Caenorhabditis elegans: one gene and its partners. The protein of the gene in region 2 interacts with the protein of the main gene of each other region in a pairwise test. Each region holds a gene or a part of one and is shown on either strand. Other genes may lie near its edges.

Region 1 (4,007 bases), on a different chromosome or scaffold from region 2:
TCGAGTTTTAACAGTGAACATTGTACAATCTCAATTTTTCAATCTTGCAGTCTCAAATTTTTTTCCGAATCTGATTTTTGGTCCAGACTCTCAAATCGAAAAAAAAAAATAATAACTGATCATGAATTTTAATTGCAAAGTGTCACTACTTGGAATTTTTTTTCCGAAGTTGCCAAAAGATTAGGGTGGAACTTTTCATATGTACATATTTTTTAAAACAATCGTTTTTATTCTTTCTTTTAAGGTGAGATATTGGCCTCTTTCAGAGTGTCTCTGTTTTTCAAGATGTAATTGTTATTTGATGTTGTCATCGGTAGTTGCCAAAATTGTCCAATCTAAAAATTTTTGATTGCTGAAAACTGTAAAAGTTGCTGTACGCTAATACTCGGTTGAAACAAAATCTTGATACAAACCTAAAAATTAACGAATAAAAAAAAGTTGAAGTACACCGTGAACATGAAAAACTTTTCATTTGAACAATGAGCTTGAACTACCAAAAACTATAAAGTGATATAAATCTTTATGCATTCAATTCTGTCAATAAAAATTCCAGTTTTTTCTTTTCGCATATGATTTTTTAGTTTGCGCTGACGGAGCAGATCTTGAAGTAATGATTTTAAATTGGTCCGCTGCTGTTTCAGTTTTAGTTTCCATATGTGTTAACTGAGGATACTCCTGCAATAGAATATAATTTAATTATTGTTCAAATGAAATTCAACCTTCCAAATGTTGCTGCCTGGGACCAATGATGTCTGTTTTCCCCAAACTAGATTCCCTTTCAGAAAAACTTCATCATCTGAAATTTTCTGATGTTTGTTTCAAAAGATATTTCTAGGTTTTACCTTTGCTCCAAATACTGGCTATGAATTCTGCTTCTTTTTTATGAACTTTATTGAGCTTTGTTAGAAATTTGGAGTACTTTGTCTGAAGAAAAGATTTTTTGCTTTCCAATTGGTTCCTGAACGCAATTTAAAGTTATCAATTCAAAACTTGCCTTATAGCATTGAGCACCAATTTTAATACTTGGAGAAGAACAGTTTTGTCTTGGACAATAACCCGGGAAAAAACCAATCTGAAACTTCGAATTAATACTCCAATGGGTTAATTTTTCGTATCACTTCTTTGTCACAAGCTGGAAAAGCCGTGCCAGCTTCACATGAACACATTCCATAATTTGCAGAGGAAATTGCTATGAATGTTCCTATTAAAGATGAAAAGTCTGAACCAAGGTCACACGATTCTTTCTCTGATGTGAACTACAAATTCCTTGATTAAGAATAAGTATTCAAAAATATAAACTTTTCCGCCTTGGATAATTGCCCGTGCGATGCTTACTCCCATTGAATGAGCAATGATGTCAATATGTCGGGCACCGGTGTACACTAAAACTGAGAGAAGAAGCTGGCGATGGAGCAATAGGTCCTGACAGTTGAAAACTCTAGAATCAATTTCTAGGTTTACAGAACCAAAGTCAATGTGTAGTATAATTTTCTACCTAAAAACAGATTGTGTCATGTTCCTGTCACCATAAGATATTCCATATAGCTCTGCCAGCGTATATCCACGATCCATAAAATACTGGACAACTGTGTCCCAACCGGACTGATATTGATCATTACCATATTTCAACGCAGAATCCGAATTTCCGTGAATGAATACAATTGGTGAATGTTTAACCTGAAAGTTAAATTTTCTATTTTCAATAACCTATTCTTGTTTCTACTTTTTCTTGTGGAAAACTTTTCCCTCCGAATGACCCAGTGTGATCGAAACTTTTAACGTGGCGAAGCAACCCGGAATTTGTATGTTCCACTCTGAATTTGATTTGATAAGAGTTCTCATTATCTGTAATTCCCTTAAACGCACTCTTTCAAGTATTGCACAAAATCTTCTGTGATAGGACCAACAATGGCAAAACACCGGTAGAGATATGATGACAGTATAAAAACATAGATTTCGGGCTTCATGGTGTATGTATATGAAAGCGAAACGTTGAACTGAGACTGACGAGCTAACACTTTTTGGTCTGCTTTCAACGTCTTTAATTCGATTAGGCATCACGTGACGTATGGAACCACTTTTTGAACCATCCCTAAATCATTCAAGAACAAACATCAATAAGAAAGAAAAACATAAGGAATACTTGAAAAATAATCCGACGTGGTTAACTTGTGACGAGCCGCAAATACAGCAAACACTACTACATATAAACAACTTTTCTGTGGCAGAAATCGATAATTTGTTAACAACAAAATATTGTAAAAACGAAGTCATCAATTTGATGCCACGGAAACGACCGCTTCATTCGGTCATAGATTGCGGGAATATACAGTATTTTTCCATAGAGGTTAAGCGTGGTTTAGAGAAATGGCGTCCCTCGTAGGGACATCTTAACCGTTCGGAAATCGGATTTTAACGCTTTCTGATGCAGTCCAATCTAAGTAAATACGTACTTCCAGAAAACGCATTTTCTTATTCGATCTGAAATCAGTTTTTATTCAAAACTCTATAGAAAGAACATTTTAATGACAAATGTAAAACTTGAATGCTTAACCAAGGCAACAAAAGGAGAAGGGAATATTATAAATTTCAGTTAATACTATAATCAAATCTATTATATGGGTCATTGATTAATAATTATCATGAGAAGCAAGAAGCAAGGCAATACTCTTGATACCTCGTTCTAAGGAGATACCGGCAATCAATAAACTAGGGGATGGGAACACAATAGGGTTGGTGTGATAAAACTATACGGGGAGTTTTTTGGTAAAAAATGGGAACATAAATTTACGGACAATTGGCACTATGGCAAAAAGAATACAAGCTCAAAAAATATCTAATACATTTGTGGACCGCAACCAATGAGCATGTTGTTCACACCAGAAGTCGAGCAATTATCCAAGGATTGAGAATCGTCGGAGCTTGACGTGGAGTCAATTGATGAGCGGAATCCAGAATCTGAAAATTATTTAAGCCGATGAACGAAAACGATGAACTATTTTCTAAAGAAAACTTACACTTCAGGTTTCTGAACATGGAGGAGAGATTGTATCTTCTCTTGGATTGCATTCCACGTGAGAAGTTTGCAGAGTTCTTATTGAAAGCGATCACATCACCCCATGTGTGGCCAAATACTGATGGCTTTTCGAAAGCATTCCGGTCCGGTGATGAAACCTGCATCCCAAAACAATGCTTTTGGTTTGCTCCATCGATCAGAGTCCCAGTTGGCTTCTTCATTCCATTGGTCATATCTTCACGGTGCAAATATGGCTGATATCCTTGATACGGATTAGAAATGTGTTCCTGCTGTTGCTGATGCATGGATGCCTGCCCAAGAGCTTGTGCTCTGGTATTCAACAGTGGAATTTGCAATCCTGGTGGGTGCTTGAGAAGCTTACTCTTCTGATGTCGTTGTGGTGTTGCGGTGCACACAATTCCTTCGAAGAAGGACATGTAGTCGAAATGTGGCAAGTTTCTCTTGGCAGAAACATAGGTACCGTGAGATGATAAAGTGAACGCCCACGAGTGAAAATCGATAATTTCCCGGAAGGAATTCATGTCACTTCCCGTACGTTGACGAACAGACAGCGGCACGTTATCGGTCTGGTAGAACTCGAAGACATTCTCAGTTGATGTGACACCTCCGTTGCAAAGGATGTACGAAAGGATTAGAACAATCGCCTGGTAGAAGTCTGGACTCTGAAAAAAAAACAATATGCTATTTCATTTCAAAATTTGTGAACAAACCTGAAGAGTGACCAAATCGTTCCATCCAACAGTGAAAAGATGGGTGCGACGCTTGATGAACATGCCACGTTCTTCATCCGAAATACCAATGTATTGAGAGACATCGTCTTCACCGAACTTGCCCAACTCACTTATCATGCTGAAAATATATTTTAAGAGAGAGAGTTTCAAAAATCAATTCTGTAATGCTTACCTGCTCAGTGGCAAAGAGAGGACAGCTTGTTGCTGGAAGAGCTCGAGAATTCTCACGTAGGCAAATC
Region 2 (5,025 bases):
AGAGGCAGGGACCCTGGAATCGATGCGAGGGAGCCGTCTGAAGATGGAGCATTCCCTTCTAGAAAAGGGTCCCAGCGGCTTCTCTGTTTCTCTTCGTATTTCTCCGTTTGGCACACAAAGAGGCTCCGCTCCTTTTTTTTTGAAGCGGAGCAAAACTAGGATGACAAAGAACGCAAAAAAGAAGAGGTATAAGTTGATTAGATCTGCTGGAAGAAGACGGATGAAATTTCTTACAAGAGAAGAAGAAAAAACTAACGGACATGTAATCTGGATAATGCTCTTACAAGTGTTGTTTCTTGATGACGTACACTGAAGTGGAGTAGGTTTTCCGAAAAATAGTCGATTCATTTTTAAAGAGGGAGTAGGGATTTTGGGTTTTTAATTAAAAAAAGGGCCCGAAACAACCGAAAAATTTCCAAAATTTGTTTTAATGGCGGAGAAGCTGAAATTTCCGCAACTTGACGTTTTCGTAGCAGCACCTGGAATACAATTTTTATTATGTTATCAACATTTATTGTATAATTTCCTCGCTTATCAAGTGTTAATTCGTTGATTAGGGCACATTTTAAAATGGTCGGCGCCCAAAAATTACCAAAATTGGATGCCTACCGACTTAAAATGCGCTTAAATCTACGAATTAACGCGTAATAAACGAGAAAAGTATGCAATAAAGATCGATAATTTGATAAAAACTGTATTCCAGCACCCACGAAAACGCCAAGTTGGCGAAATCTCTGATTTTAGAAAAAACATTTGCCTTCATTTTTCGAAATTCTGACCCAAACTTTCTCGGACTTTAGAAACCCGACAAACTCTACTCCCCCTTAAAAAACAATATTGGCAATGTGAACAGAAATTTTTAGTGTTGAAATTGTATTTGCATGATTGAATTATTTTATTACCATTTTCCTACAGGCCGCTCAAATCCCCAATTTCCTATTTTTAACATCCCATTCGGTCATTAAATGTTGACACAGTTGGGTAACCGATGGCTCGGTGGCAATGCTCAGAACAGCGATTCGAACAGAAATCGGCTAAATATCTGTTTACCCTTCAAAAACTACAACCACTACAGCTATGTTTCGAAAACTCTAGCCAACAGTTGAACGTACCTTGCATTTTTGCTGCTGGAATTGTTTCGAGTTTTGGCCCAATTTTCGTTGTTACGACGTTGTTTTCTTGGACTTTTACATCAACTGAAACAATTGTTTAGGTGTTTTGAGTGACAGAGTAAATCAGATCGACAAAGTACAATCAGACCAATTCCGAGCTAGGCATAGTTAGCCAGATCTAGGAAGAGGAAATCAGAGTAAAGTAACTATGATTTATTCCAATCGACAAAGCAGAGCTAGTCAGGGCTAGTCAGATCTAGGTAGAACTAGGCAGAGTAAGTCAGACTTGATTTACTCTGTCTAGTTCTACCTAGATCTGACTAGCCCTGACTAGCTATGAAATTACCCATATAGTGGAGCGCACTTACTGACCCTTCGAATTTCAGGCGGGAATTTAAATTTTAGTTTTCTCGTTTCATGATATCATACAATACTTATGTGTGATCATATTTTGACTTTGAATTATAACTTTTCGAAGCAAGTTTGAAAAAAAAAAATCGCAAGACAAATCAGAAAAAAAATCATTAAATACTGTTTTTCTGATCGACTTCTAAAATTAGTATTTGGAGAACAGAGTAATTCCCGATTTTTGACAATACATGAAAAATTTAAAAGAGCTAACAAATTGAAAAGTTTCATTATGTATTTTTACACAGTGTCAGGTTCTCCCATCGCTAAACTGCACACGAGATGCGAGAAAATGTAGGGTACTGTAGGTATACGGTGGGGTTACTGTAGTTTGGGAACATTTGAATTTTTGACTTTTGAAGAGGTATTGACTTGAAGTTAGTAGGGGGATATGGTCAAGGTACTGTAGTAGTACTGTAGGAAGTTTTTAGTTTTCTCGAGAAGTTTTTTTTGCGGGAATTTCAGATTTCATAGTTCACTTTGAGAGAAACGGTGTGTTATTACCGGCACAGAGAGTGTAGATAGTTAGAGAGTGACAGACATCCGGGACCCAATGGGGCGGGGCGCGCGGAAGAGACGATTTGTGTCGATTTACGAAATGATGACAACGAGGAAAATGTCGTAAATCGACACAAATCGTCTCTTCCGCGCGTCCCGCCCCATTGGGTCCCGGATGTCTGTCACTCTCTAACTATCTACACTTTCTGTACAGGTAATACAGATTTCGACCATTGATTTGTTTATATATGGATATGTTCCACTGTGTTATCGGCGCGTGCATAGCTTAGTGGTTAAGGGATGGGATTAGTAATCAGAAGATCGGGGTTCGGGAAACGGCAGGGGCTTGAAGGGAAGGTTCTATGAAGCAGGGCGAAGGGTTGACAAGGAGAGGCAATAAGCAAGTAGTAGGGGTTCTCTAGAAAACATTTTTGTCTTTAATATGCGTTTTCTACTGATTTATTATTGATATTTGGATCCCCTTTTCTAGAAAAAAAAATCAGAATCAGCAGAAAAATTTGAGAAAAAGTCATAGCAAATCAGAGTTGGTCAGAGTAAATCAGAGCTAGGCATAGTAAATCATAGCTAGTCAGAGAATATCAGAGTTAATCAGGGTAATAAGTAGACCTAGTCATAGTAAATCAGAGCTGGTCAGAGCTAGTCAGGTCTAGTCATAGTAAAGCTGAGCTAGGCATAGTAAAGCGTGGTTACTCCGAGTAAAACCACACTTGCACCGAACTGCGGTTAGTGTGCTTTACCATTATGTAACTCCGCTTTTTACTCTGAGTTAGTATGATATGGTTTGTCTGAGGAACAATTCAGTGTGACACGTAATTTGTAATTTTTTGATCCGATTAAAATTTGTTTTTTTTTCTTAATTTTCGAAAAATCGCCTCACCGTTTTGATCAGGTGTAGTTCGAACTTGCTCAACCAGCGGAACATCATGCGTTTCTTCATCGGCAACCTCCACCGTCACCGACATTCTGAAAAATCTGCTTAATTACGCTGTAAAACGAGTAAAATTAAGTCACATAAAAATTATAAGTGTAATTAATACTAATTTTCAGAAAAACAACTAATAAAGCATCAAACTCCGAATAAAAACTGCTTTTAGGAAGAGAAATAAAATTAAGAATTCAAATTTACAAGCCTTATTTATGAGTCGCGTCGAGACCGATGCGCAGATATTCAGTGTGTGCCTTTAAAATTGACCTACGGTATAGGCTACTTAAAATTGTTTCAAATCTGTTTTTCCTTTGATCAATATTTTTTCAGAATTTCAATTGAAAGTTTTTTAAAAATATATATTTTTTGAATTATAAACGAAAGTGTTTTAAATTAAAAAAAAACACTGGTTGTGATGTATTAAAATCTCGGATTATTTTCTAAATATTTATATTTCAGGATTAAAAAAAAAACAATTAAATTGAGTTTTTTTCCGAAAATTACTACAATGAAAAAAGCTAGACATTTTTGACTGCAGGGTGCCAATTTTTAGAATTTTAGTTATCTACTCTTACTCAAGGCTGTCTAATTGAGCATGTACGCAAAGGCAGAGATAGAAGTAAAAAGAAAGAACTCAAAGTAGAGACAACAAGAACAAAGGTGCACCCAGGTGGCAGTAGTGGAAAAGAAAACAAAAACGCATTTTCTAAGAGGAAAATGTTAGGTACAAATGCTTGAAAAATGGATGTCGTGAGCTGTTGGAGGGTGGTCAATCGGGGAAAAACGATATGATATGGAAGGAAACAAGAGGAAGAGGGGTAGAATAATATGAATATAAACAATTGAGAGATCATATGGAGACATATACTATTTCTTTTTTGTTTATCAGTCAAAGAAATATAAACGTTAGAGCACAAAGATATCAGTTTTCAAAACAATACTATCAATTCATTGCTAATGCGGAAGAAGACAAAAGCAAGACAAAAAACTAGTGAGTGTGCTAGGTTCTGCCTTGATACGAGACATAGAGAGATGAAGGACAAGGCCGGCGTTCTGTTTTCGAGACAAATCAATGTTTGATCAGCTGGAGGATCAACACGAAAAGAGACTGGGGAGAATGACAACAAAACAATCAGTTTTCGACGCTTTTGGCATGTTACGGTTTGAATTAAAAAACAGTAGCTGCTAGTTGGCACCGGCCCAGACGCGAAATTTTGTCCCAAAAATACGGTACCCGGTCTCGACACGACGAATGTTTGATTTACAAAAGGGTGTTAGCCTTTAAAGGTTACCGTAATTTCAAGCTTTACTGCTGAATTTTCATTTTAAAATTTTTTTTCACGATTCGAACGATCGTTAAAATTTATCGGATTTTTTCAGTAACTCATTATATTTTTGTTTGAAAATTTTACAGCAAACTTTACAGTACTCTTTAAAGGCGCATGACTCTTCGCATTCAACAAAAATGTCCTGTCGGGAGTCCCTACTCGGGACCCGTTACCATATTTTTGTAGCAAAATTTCGGGGCAAAAAAAATATATTCCCCTGGCATGCATTATTTATTTATTTCGGATATGAATGTGATTTATTATATCGGGGTGAGAATATTTAATAAATGAGTTATGAAATCCACATCCATTGTTTTCGACTTTTCCTCTCCTTTCTGTTTTGAGTTTACTTGCACTTTCAAACATCTGATAACAAGCTGATAACTGCCAACTGGGACGCAAATGAGCAGTAATATAATTATTGAAGAGAAGGAAGAAATTGAAATAAAAAAATTGAATCGGGGTTATAAACAAAAATTGTCCTATTTCAACAATACTTTGTGGCCGATTATCGAGACAAATCGCGGTGGAAACGACGACAATTTTTTGAAAATTTGGAACACAAGTACAACATTTTGAATGAAGAATATATTCATATAGATACGATTGGGAGGGCATTTATGTTAACGTAGAATATATATAGCGTATTAAAAGTTGAGAATAGCTTGCGATATATAGGGACTCCTAGATAATGTAGAGTCGAAGATTTCAGTCTTGATTTTTGGTGAGTTGG
Region 3 (7,799 bases), 4.8 Mb from region 2:
AGGAAAAGCAATCGAACTATACAAAATGTAGTAAAAAGACAAACTTTGAGTACAACGAGCACACAGAGTATGAAGAGGTTTTTGAGCGACTAAACATAGAAATTTTTTCACTGTTTCAAGGGATCTAGTTTAAAATCGAAAAATCGATTTTTCGATTATAATCTTTGATTATAATCTTTGAATAGCGTTCAATTTGAAATGTCCAATGCTCTTAAACTTTTAACTGTAGAGGTAGATTTGGTGTTAATTTCTAAAGCTGGCGAAAACCTTGCAATAGATACTTTTAAACTTTTTTGGAGCTCGTTTGAGCATGTCGGCTGAAAATTTCTGAAGACAGGACGTCCCAATGTACGATTCAAAGTTAATTTCGATGAAGCCAAATTTCTGAATTTCTGTTGAAAATCTATATTAAGAACTACGATATCTCACATTAAAATGAAAATAATTGTTATTTTGCGAACTACAATTATACTGAAATAGGTTTTTTTTTGAAATTCTAGTGATCAAAGAAATTTGAAAAAGTTTTGTATAGTCAACATTAGATCAAAATAATGCTTTCGTAGTTTGTTTATTTAAAACTTTTAATAATAATCTTTAGAACCTCAATCTTTTTGATAAACCAAAACAAATATTTGATAGAAAAATGACCTCTTTGATGTGGAATATAGTGTATTTTGTTTCTTTTTTGAGGAATTGTTCGCACTTTTCAAGTGGAAATTGGCGGAAAAAGATGAGAATAGAGTGGAATGAAGAGGCGGAACGAACAAAACACATTTGATGCGCGATCCCATTGATTTTTATTCGTAGAATTTGGATTTTTTTCATAGATTTTTCAAAATAGATTTTTAGACTCACGCTTATTCCTCAAAACATGTATCAACTCAGATGGGTCTCGTCGCGAGAAAACACATTAAGACATATGTTTTAATCTCCGTGATGCCAGCTGCTTTTATTCTGCTTTCCAACTTTCGAAAATTTAGTTTCAAAATAACTGTTTAAAAGTGGTAAAGTTGACAAATGTTAAGATAATAAGTTGATAAGTAATACTTAAGTTAAGTTGATTCCAAGGAAGCAAATGATACCAAATTTTTCTAAATCCTAGAATGAACTATTTTTTCGTGGCAAGACCAATCTTAACAGATCAGTTCACTTTTCAGAAAATTTGAAAATTACCATAACGTAAAGGTAATCAGTTGAGTCATGTAATCCCTTTTTTCTCAAAAATGTCCACATTCTGCAAAATCTTAGTTGCAATATGTCACAGACATTTGTCTAGTCTGTCAGTTTCAGATAAACTTTTCCCGTTTTTTCAACTTTCACAGCTAATTCGGGGTGTACTAACTAGAAGTAGCTTATTAACCAAATGTCATCTAGTTCCTTCTTTTATAATTTGATTAGTGGTTTTTTTCGAATATATTCTTTTCTAGTTTGTGTTTTGTCACGTATGACCTTGTTTCTTCAAATCAACTTGCTGCTCTCTTCACAAACTAAGGTCATCTGTTTCGTGTTAAGACCCAACGCTGAAAACATTGTCAACCTATTCGTGGCACGTGTCGCTCCCGATTTACACGTTTCTTTTTCTTTGCTCTCTTTTTCTATCTCTCTCGATCAGAGCACAGAAACCAGTGAGAAAAAATAGATGGCGAAAACAAACCCCGCCTCTCTTTTTTTGTGTGTGAAGAGAACCATTGGATCCAAAGGGGCCCCTGTTAACAATATATTTTTACTTTCTGAAATTCTTCTAAAGTTATCTGGAGATAATTATATTCCATAATTGATCACATAACATTTTAAAATGTCTGCAATGGCTGTACTGTATTCAGTTTGTCACTTTCATGGAGGCTGGAATCGTCGGAAATCGGCACCAGTAAGTTGAAAACTGATTTAAATCAATAGGGTACACTCTGTGAAATCATAGTGATATTTGAATAATCAAATGACTTTATGAAGCAACCCGCGGGGCTTCTGTATTGAGAAAATACACGATTGCATTTAAAACTTTGCGAACACAATTGTTTAATTGGCCAGCAAATTGAACATTCGTGATTCCTTTTTTGAACATGGGAATCCCACGTTTCATTCGTAACATCTTTTTCAATACAAGTTTTAACTTTTCTTTTCAGCTATCGAGTTACTGTAGATTTGAAAAGTTAATTTATCAACTAATGAAAATAAACGTATTCCATATTTCCATTAATAATAGATTTATTTAAAGCTTCACTCCATCTACATAAATTCATATAACCGAGCGCAACGCTGTCCTTATTATTTGAAAATTCTAATAAACCCTGCAAAATCTGGGTTAAAATCTTCTGCGCGAAAATGGAAGAGAAAAGTGTGTTCGGCCCGCGGACTAACTCCCTCCGTGTACTCTTCTCGGAAAAGAAAAAAATCATCTTTGCGCCCCTTACCGCCGCTCTCTTTCTTTTGTTGACCTTCTATCTGCGAATATATTGATTTTCTGGTTTATTTTATTTTGGAATTAACTGCAATTTTCACATGGAATGCTCTCGCGAAACGGTGTGTTTTCGAACGTTTTCCACAAATAAAATGAAAGTGAAAAATGCTAAAGGGAAACATTTATTTGTTCAGATTGTTTTAAAAAGTGCTTCACAATAATAAAATAGAGCATCTGAAAAGTAATTTACTTATTGCTTGTTCTGATTTCTCAAATGTCCTTTAAAAGTCCGTGTTTAATGTTTTACTCGTCCAAATTGTCCTTTTGTTTTTTAATTACATGTAATCACTAACAGCAATTTAGAAGTCACCTGTCACATCATCTCAAACGCCATCATCATCGTCGACACGCCGCCGAATGAGTCGGATTAATTTCAAAAAGTCATCGGCGTCGACCACCCCGACGAGCCCACATTGCCCATCTCCGCGGCTTATAAGTCTGCCGAGATGTGCTTCTTCATCTATTGATCGGAAGGTAGAAAATTAGCAACGAATCCTTTGTCTTGAATTTTTTAACACTAATTACATGTTACTTGTGGGGAATCGTGTTAATCTATTCAATTCAGAATCAAGCGTCCACTTCTCATTCCAAAGATTATCAATTAAATATTTATATGTAACTCATAATTATTTTCAGGATCAAGCTTCGCCGATGGCAAGTCCTTCAACTCCTCTTTATCCAAAGCACAGTGATAGTCTTCATTCGTTATCTGGACATCATTCCGCTGGAGGAGCAGGAACAAGTGACAAGGAACCGCCAAAATTCAAATACAAAATGATTATGGTTCATTTGCCATTTGATCAACATTCTAGGGTTGAAGTAAGCAAAAAATTCACTGTGAAACGAAGAAAATAAGCACATTTTGTTCAGGTTCGTCCCGGTGAAACCGCGCGGGATGCCATTTCGAAATTGCTCAAAAAACGGAATATCACACCTCAATTATGTCACGTGAACGCGTCATCTGACCCAAAACAAGAATCTATTGAATTATCGGTGTGATTTACTGGAATCTAACAGCATAATTCTTATTTTTGAATATTTTCAGCTGACAATGGAAGAGATCGCATCCCGACTGCCTGGAAATGAATTATGGGTTCATTCAGAATATCTGAATACAGTCTCATCGATTAAACATGCAATTGTTCGAAGAACGTTTATTCCACCGAAATCATGTGATGTATGCAATAATCCTATCTGGATGATGGGATTTCGATGTGAATTTTGTCAATTCAAATTTCATCAAAGATGCTCATCGTTTGCACCACTTTATTGCGATTTGTTACAATCTGTACCGAAAAATGAAGATGTGCGTTCAGAACAAAGGCGGGCGGCAATATTACAAAATTACCAATGTTGTCCCAACATTTGTCATTAACGTCGAAATATAGAAAACCACATTATTTATCTAATGACAACTTTTAATTATGTTTAAAGATCTGTGAAAATGCACAATAATGGCCATTTGCCATAGGCAATTCGCAACTTCTAGGTCATTTTTGTGCATTTTCATAGATGTTTAAACATAATTAAAAGTTATCATTAGATAATTAAGGTGGTTCTATATATTTTTTACACTGATTTTTAATGAAAAATGTTGGAACAACATGGCGTAATTGCTCACCTCTGCTTCAGAAACAATTCTTATCTAAAACATTTAATTTTCAGCTAGTGAAAGAACTCTTTGGGATCGCATCACAAGTCGAAGGCCCAGATAGATCAGTTGCCGAAATAGTTCTTGCTAATCTAGCTCCAACGAGTGGACAAAGTCCAGCTGCCACACCAGACAGTTCTCATCCAGATTTGACGAGTATTAAACGAACGGGTGGTGTCAAAAGACATCCAATGGCTGTTTCTCCACAGAATGAAACATCTCAATTATCTCCATCCGGACCTTATCCACGGGATCGGAGCTCTTCTGCTCCGAATATCAATGCGATTAATGATGAGGCAACAGTTCAACATAATGTAATAGTCACCAATTTTAAAAGAAAAAGTCTAAAATGTATTATTTTCAGCAAAGAATTCTTGATGCATTGGAAGCTCAGCGATTAGAAGAAGAATCACGAGATAAAACTGGATCGTTACTTTCAACACAAGCACGTCATCGACCTCATTTCCAGAGTGGACATATTTTGTCAGGTAATCGAAAACAGAAAACATAACGATTCGTCAAAAGGTCAGGGAAGAAAAACAAAATTCCAAATTTAAGACGTTTTTCTAAAGTTATAAAAACAATTTTTACTCTATTCCACCTTCAAGAATTTCCCAAACGACTCTAATTATTTTAATTTCACTTATTCTCAATTATTCAGGAGCTCGAATGAATCGTCTTCACCCACTTGTTGACTGTACTCCTCTTGGCTCGAATTCTCCTTCATCTACATGTTCATCACCTCCAGGTGGCTTAATCGGACAACCTACTCTTGGACAATCCCCGAATGTATCAGGATCAACGACGTCATCATTAGTAGCCGCTCATTTGCATACTCTCCCATTAACACCACCACAATCAGCACCTCCTCAGAAGGTAGAATTCAAAAAAATCTATTTTTCTTCAATTAAAAATGTTTAGATTTCACCTGGTTTCTTCCGAAATCGTAGTCGATCGCCAGGCGAACGACTTGATGCACAACGACCCAGGCCGCCACAGAAACCACATCATGAGGATTGGGAAATATTGCCGAATGAATTTATTGTAAGTTTATTCTACATCAGCAAGGGTGCACGGCTTTTGCAAACCGGCAGTTCTACAAAAGGAGCATGTTATCCTAATTTTTTTCATTTAAATTCAGTGATCGAATATAGAAAAAAAACATTTTATTTATCTGAAAATAGCTTTTTTTTTTACAGTTGAAGCAATAAAAAAACGCTCAAAACTTCTGTCAAAACTATTAAAACAAGCATTCTTTTAGATTCAATACAAAGTTGGTTCGGGATCCTTCGGTACCGTCTATCGTGGAGAATTCTTCGGAACTGTTGCTATAAAAAAGCTGAATGTTGTTGATCCGACGCCTTCTCAAATGGCAGCCTTTAAAAATGAAGTTGCAGTTTTAAAGAAAACACGTCATTTGAATGTTTTGCTGTTTATGGGATGGGTTCGAGAACCAGAAATTGCAATTATTACTCAATGGTGTGAAGGATCGAGTTTGTATAGACATATTCATGTTCAAGGTGATCTGAACTGAGATTTTAATTCTTATAATTTAATAATTTTCAGAGCCACGCGTCGAATTTGAAATGGGTGCTATCATTGATATACTGAAGCAAGTGTCTCTTGGAATGAATTATTTACATTCAAAAAATATTATTCATCGGTAACTGACCATATCTATAATTTATGTTTAAATGTTTAAAACATTTCAGTGACTTGAAAACGAACAATATATTCCTTATGGATGACATGTCAACGGTAAAAATTGGAGATTTCGGCTTGGCAACTGTCAAAACGAAATGGACAGTGAACGGAGGTCAACAGCAACAACAACCAACAGGAAGTATTCTCTGGATGGCACCTGAAGTCATCAGAATGCAAGATGATAATCCATATACCCCACAGTCTGATGTGTATTCTTTTGGAATATGCATGTACGAAATTCTATCTTCGCATCTACCATACTCCAACATTAATAATCGAGATCAGATATTGTTTATGGTTGGAAGAGGGTATTTGAGGCCGGATAGATCGAAAATTCGACATGATACGCCGAAGAGCATGCTCAAATTATATGACAATTGCATTATGTTCGATAGAAATGAGCGGCCAGTATTTGGAGAGGTGAGTGGGAAATACCGACTTTAGAAATTTGGTAGAACTATGATTTATTATGGGGTTATTCATGAGTGTCAAAAAACTTTTAAAAAATCGATTTTTTGTACTTTGTACATGTTTCGACAGCGTCGACGAGCGAAAAACTACAGTAAGCCGCCATGCGGCGAGACCATACGTTTTCATATGACTATGTCTCTTCAAAAGTTGTGTAAATTTACGAGCTGGGCGTTCTCCCCGTGTACACCGCGAGGACAATTCGGAATTTATTTTCTTCCAGTACTTCACACATTTTCGCTCTTTTTTTTCACATTTAAAATTGGCAGTTTTGTCTAAATATGGTGGCTTCCTTTGATTTTTCACTCTTTGACGCTGTCGAAAAATGGATAAAAACATGCTTTTAAGAAATCGATGTATTTTTTAAAAACATTTTTTTCGCTCATGAATAACTCCACTACACTGAAAAATCCAAAAAAATATTGTAGTTTGATTTTTAAATAAATTTTAATGAATGAATTCCAATTTTTCAGGTTCTCGAACGACTTCGCGACATAATTCTTCCAAAATTGACTCGTTCTCAATCAGCTCCGAATGTTCTTCACTTAGACTCGCAATATTCGGTGATGGATGCTGTAATGAGAAGCCAAATGCTTTCCTGGTCATATATTCCACCTGCAACTGCAAAAACCCCACAATCAGCAGCAGCAGCGGCCGCTGCTAACAAGAAGGCATACTACAATGTCTATGGTCTCATTTAGTTTTATTTTGTTTTTTTTTTTGAAAATCAAGGGACACTGCAACTTTTTAGTTGATTTTCTCGTCTCTCCCCGAATATGTACCTTTATTTTCTCTCTTTTTTCTATTCTTCCCAGTGATTTTCCCTACCCCATGTGTACACTAACCAAAAAACTTCCAGTCGAAGAATAATCTCGCCCATCGTTATTTTACTAATCATTTCTCGTCACATTGAATCCTGTTCTATTATTCACCCCCTCATCACCCATCCCGATATTATTATTATTATTTTAACCCCGTATTCACCGTTTCCTCCAAAACTTAAAAATCCCACCAAAATACTTTCTTTCCAGTCTAAGTCCGCCTGCAATCGTTCCCCCATGTGAAATTGTGATAATTTTCATATTTTTGTTTCGGCTAAACCGGTAGAACTTTTTCTTTTCCAACTATAATGCTTTTTATTGAAAACGTTTCTTTTGATAAGTTTTCAATGTTCCCACCCCATTTCCGTTTCCAAACATCCCAAAGATTCTCTGTATGTATAGAATTATATAGAATCCAATGCCTATCCGTTTTGTTTTTGTCATTTCGAACACATTTTGAAACTTCCATTTATTTTAATTTCAAAATGCAGCATCCCCATTCCTTTTCTGAACCGGGTTATTTGAATCATTTAATTTTTGCAAACAAAAAAAGTTGAAGATAAAATAATTTTTCGCCTGACTTCCTGTTTCTTCTTTTGAGTGGCTAGAAAAAGTGTAGGATTTCAGATTAATATTTTAAAATTTGAAAAAAAAACAAAACAATTTTGTTCCAGAGGATTCCACAGGATGTCGGACG

The links.
Region 1: the proteins of sms-1 (region 2) and lips-2 interact in a two-hybrid assay, tested with the Caenorhabditis elegans proteins (one large-scale study listed by BioGRID).
Region 3: the proteins of sms-1 (region 2) and lin-45 interact in a two-hybrid assay, tested with the Caenorhabditis elegans proteins (one large-scale study listed by BioGRID).

What each region holds. Positions count from the first base shown.
Region 1 is NC_003284.9:12,283,784-12,287,790, reverse strand, and holds lips-2 (LIPaSe related), read right to left. Parts: upstream 1,996-4,007; 5' UTR 1,968-1,995; coding exon 1,867-1,967; intron 1,815-1,866; coding exon 1,724-1,814; intron 1,678-1,723; coding exon 1,496-1,677; intron 1,439-1,495; coding exon 1,300-1,438; intron 1,257-1,299; coding exon 1,119-1,256; intron 1,073-1,118; coding exon 995-1,072; intron 925-994; coding exon 843-924; intron 797-842; coding exon 720-796; intron 676-719; coding exon 538-675; 3' UTR 505-537; downstream 1-504. Other genes in the region: C04B4.5 (uncharacterized protein), read left to right, coding at 1-132; C04B4.2 (EF-hand domain-containing protein), read right to left, coding at 2,837-2,958, 3,018-3,699, 3,748-3,886, 3,941-4,007.
Region 2 is NC_003282.8:11,495,167-11,500,191, forward strand, and holds the start of sms-1 (Phosphatidylcholine:ceramide cholinephosphotransferase 1), read right to left. Parts: upstream 3,009-5,025; 5' UTR 3,002-3,008; coding exon 2,917-3,001; intron 1,197-2,916; coding exon 1,113-1,196; intron 173-1,112; exon of another isoform or gene 1-172. UniProt on the Caenorhabditis elegans protein: Sphingomyelin synthases (SM synthase or SMS) synthesize the sphingolipid sphingomyelin (SM) through transfer of the phosphatidyl head group of 1,2-diacyl-sn-glycero-3-phosphocholine (phosphatidylcholine, PC) on to the primary hydroxyl of ceramide (N-acylsphingoid base), yielding 1,2-diacyl-sn-glycerol (diacylglycerol, DAG) as a side product.
Region 3 is NC_003282.8:6,742,421-6,750,219, reverse strand, and holds lin-45 (Raf homolog serine/threonine-protein kinase), read left to right. Parts: upstream 1-1,795; coding exon 1,796-1,867; intron 1,868-2,405; exon of another isoform or gene 2,406-2,499; coding exon of another isoform or gene 2,500-2,520; intron 2,521-2,761; coding exon 2,762-2,932; intron 2,933-3,094; coding exon 3,095-3,277; intron 3,278-3,328; coding exon 3,329-3,451; intron 3,452-3,503; coding exon 3,504-3,764; intron 3,765-4,123; coding exon 4,124-4,423; intron 4,424-4,473; coding exon 4,474-4,597; intron 4,598-4,770; coding exon 4,771-4,985; intron 4,986-5,030; coding exon 5,031-5,153; intron 5,154-5,370; coding exon 5,371-5,629; intron 5,630-5,675; coding exon 5,676-5,772; intron 5,773-5,821; coding exon 5,822-6,233; intron 6,234-6,754; coding exon 6,755-6,982; 3' UTR 6,983-7,682; downstream 7,683-7,799. Other genes in the region: smg-7 (DNA/RNA-binding domain-containing protein), read left to right, coding at 7,790-7,799. UniProt on the Caenorhabditis elegans protein: Protein kinase that participates in the induction of vulva and has roles in fertility and viability. Acts downstream of the Ras protein let-60. Required for progression of developing oocytes through the pachytene stage.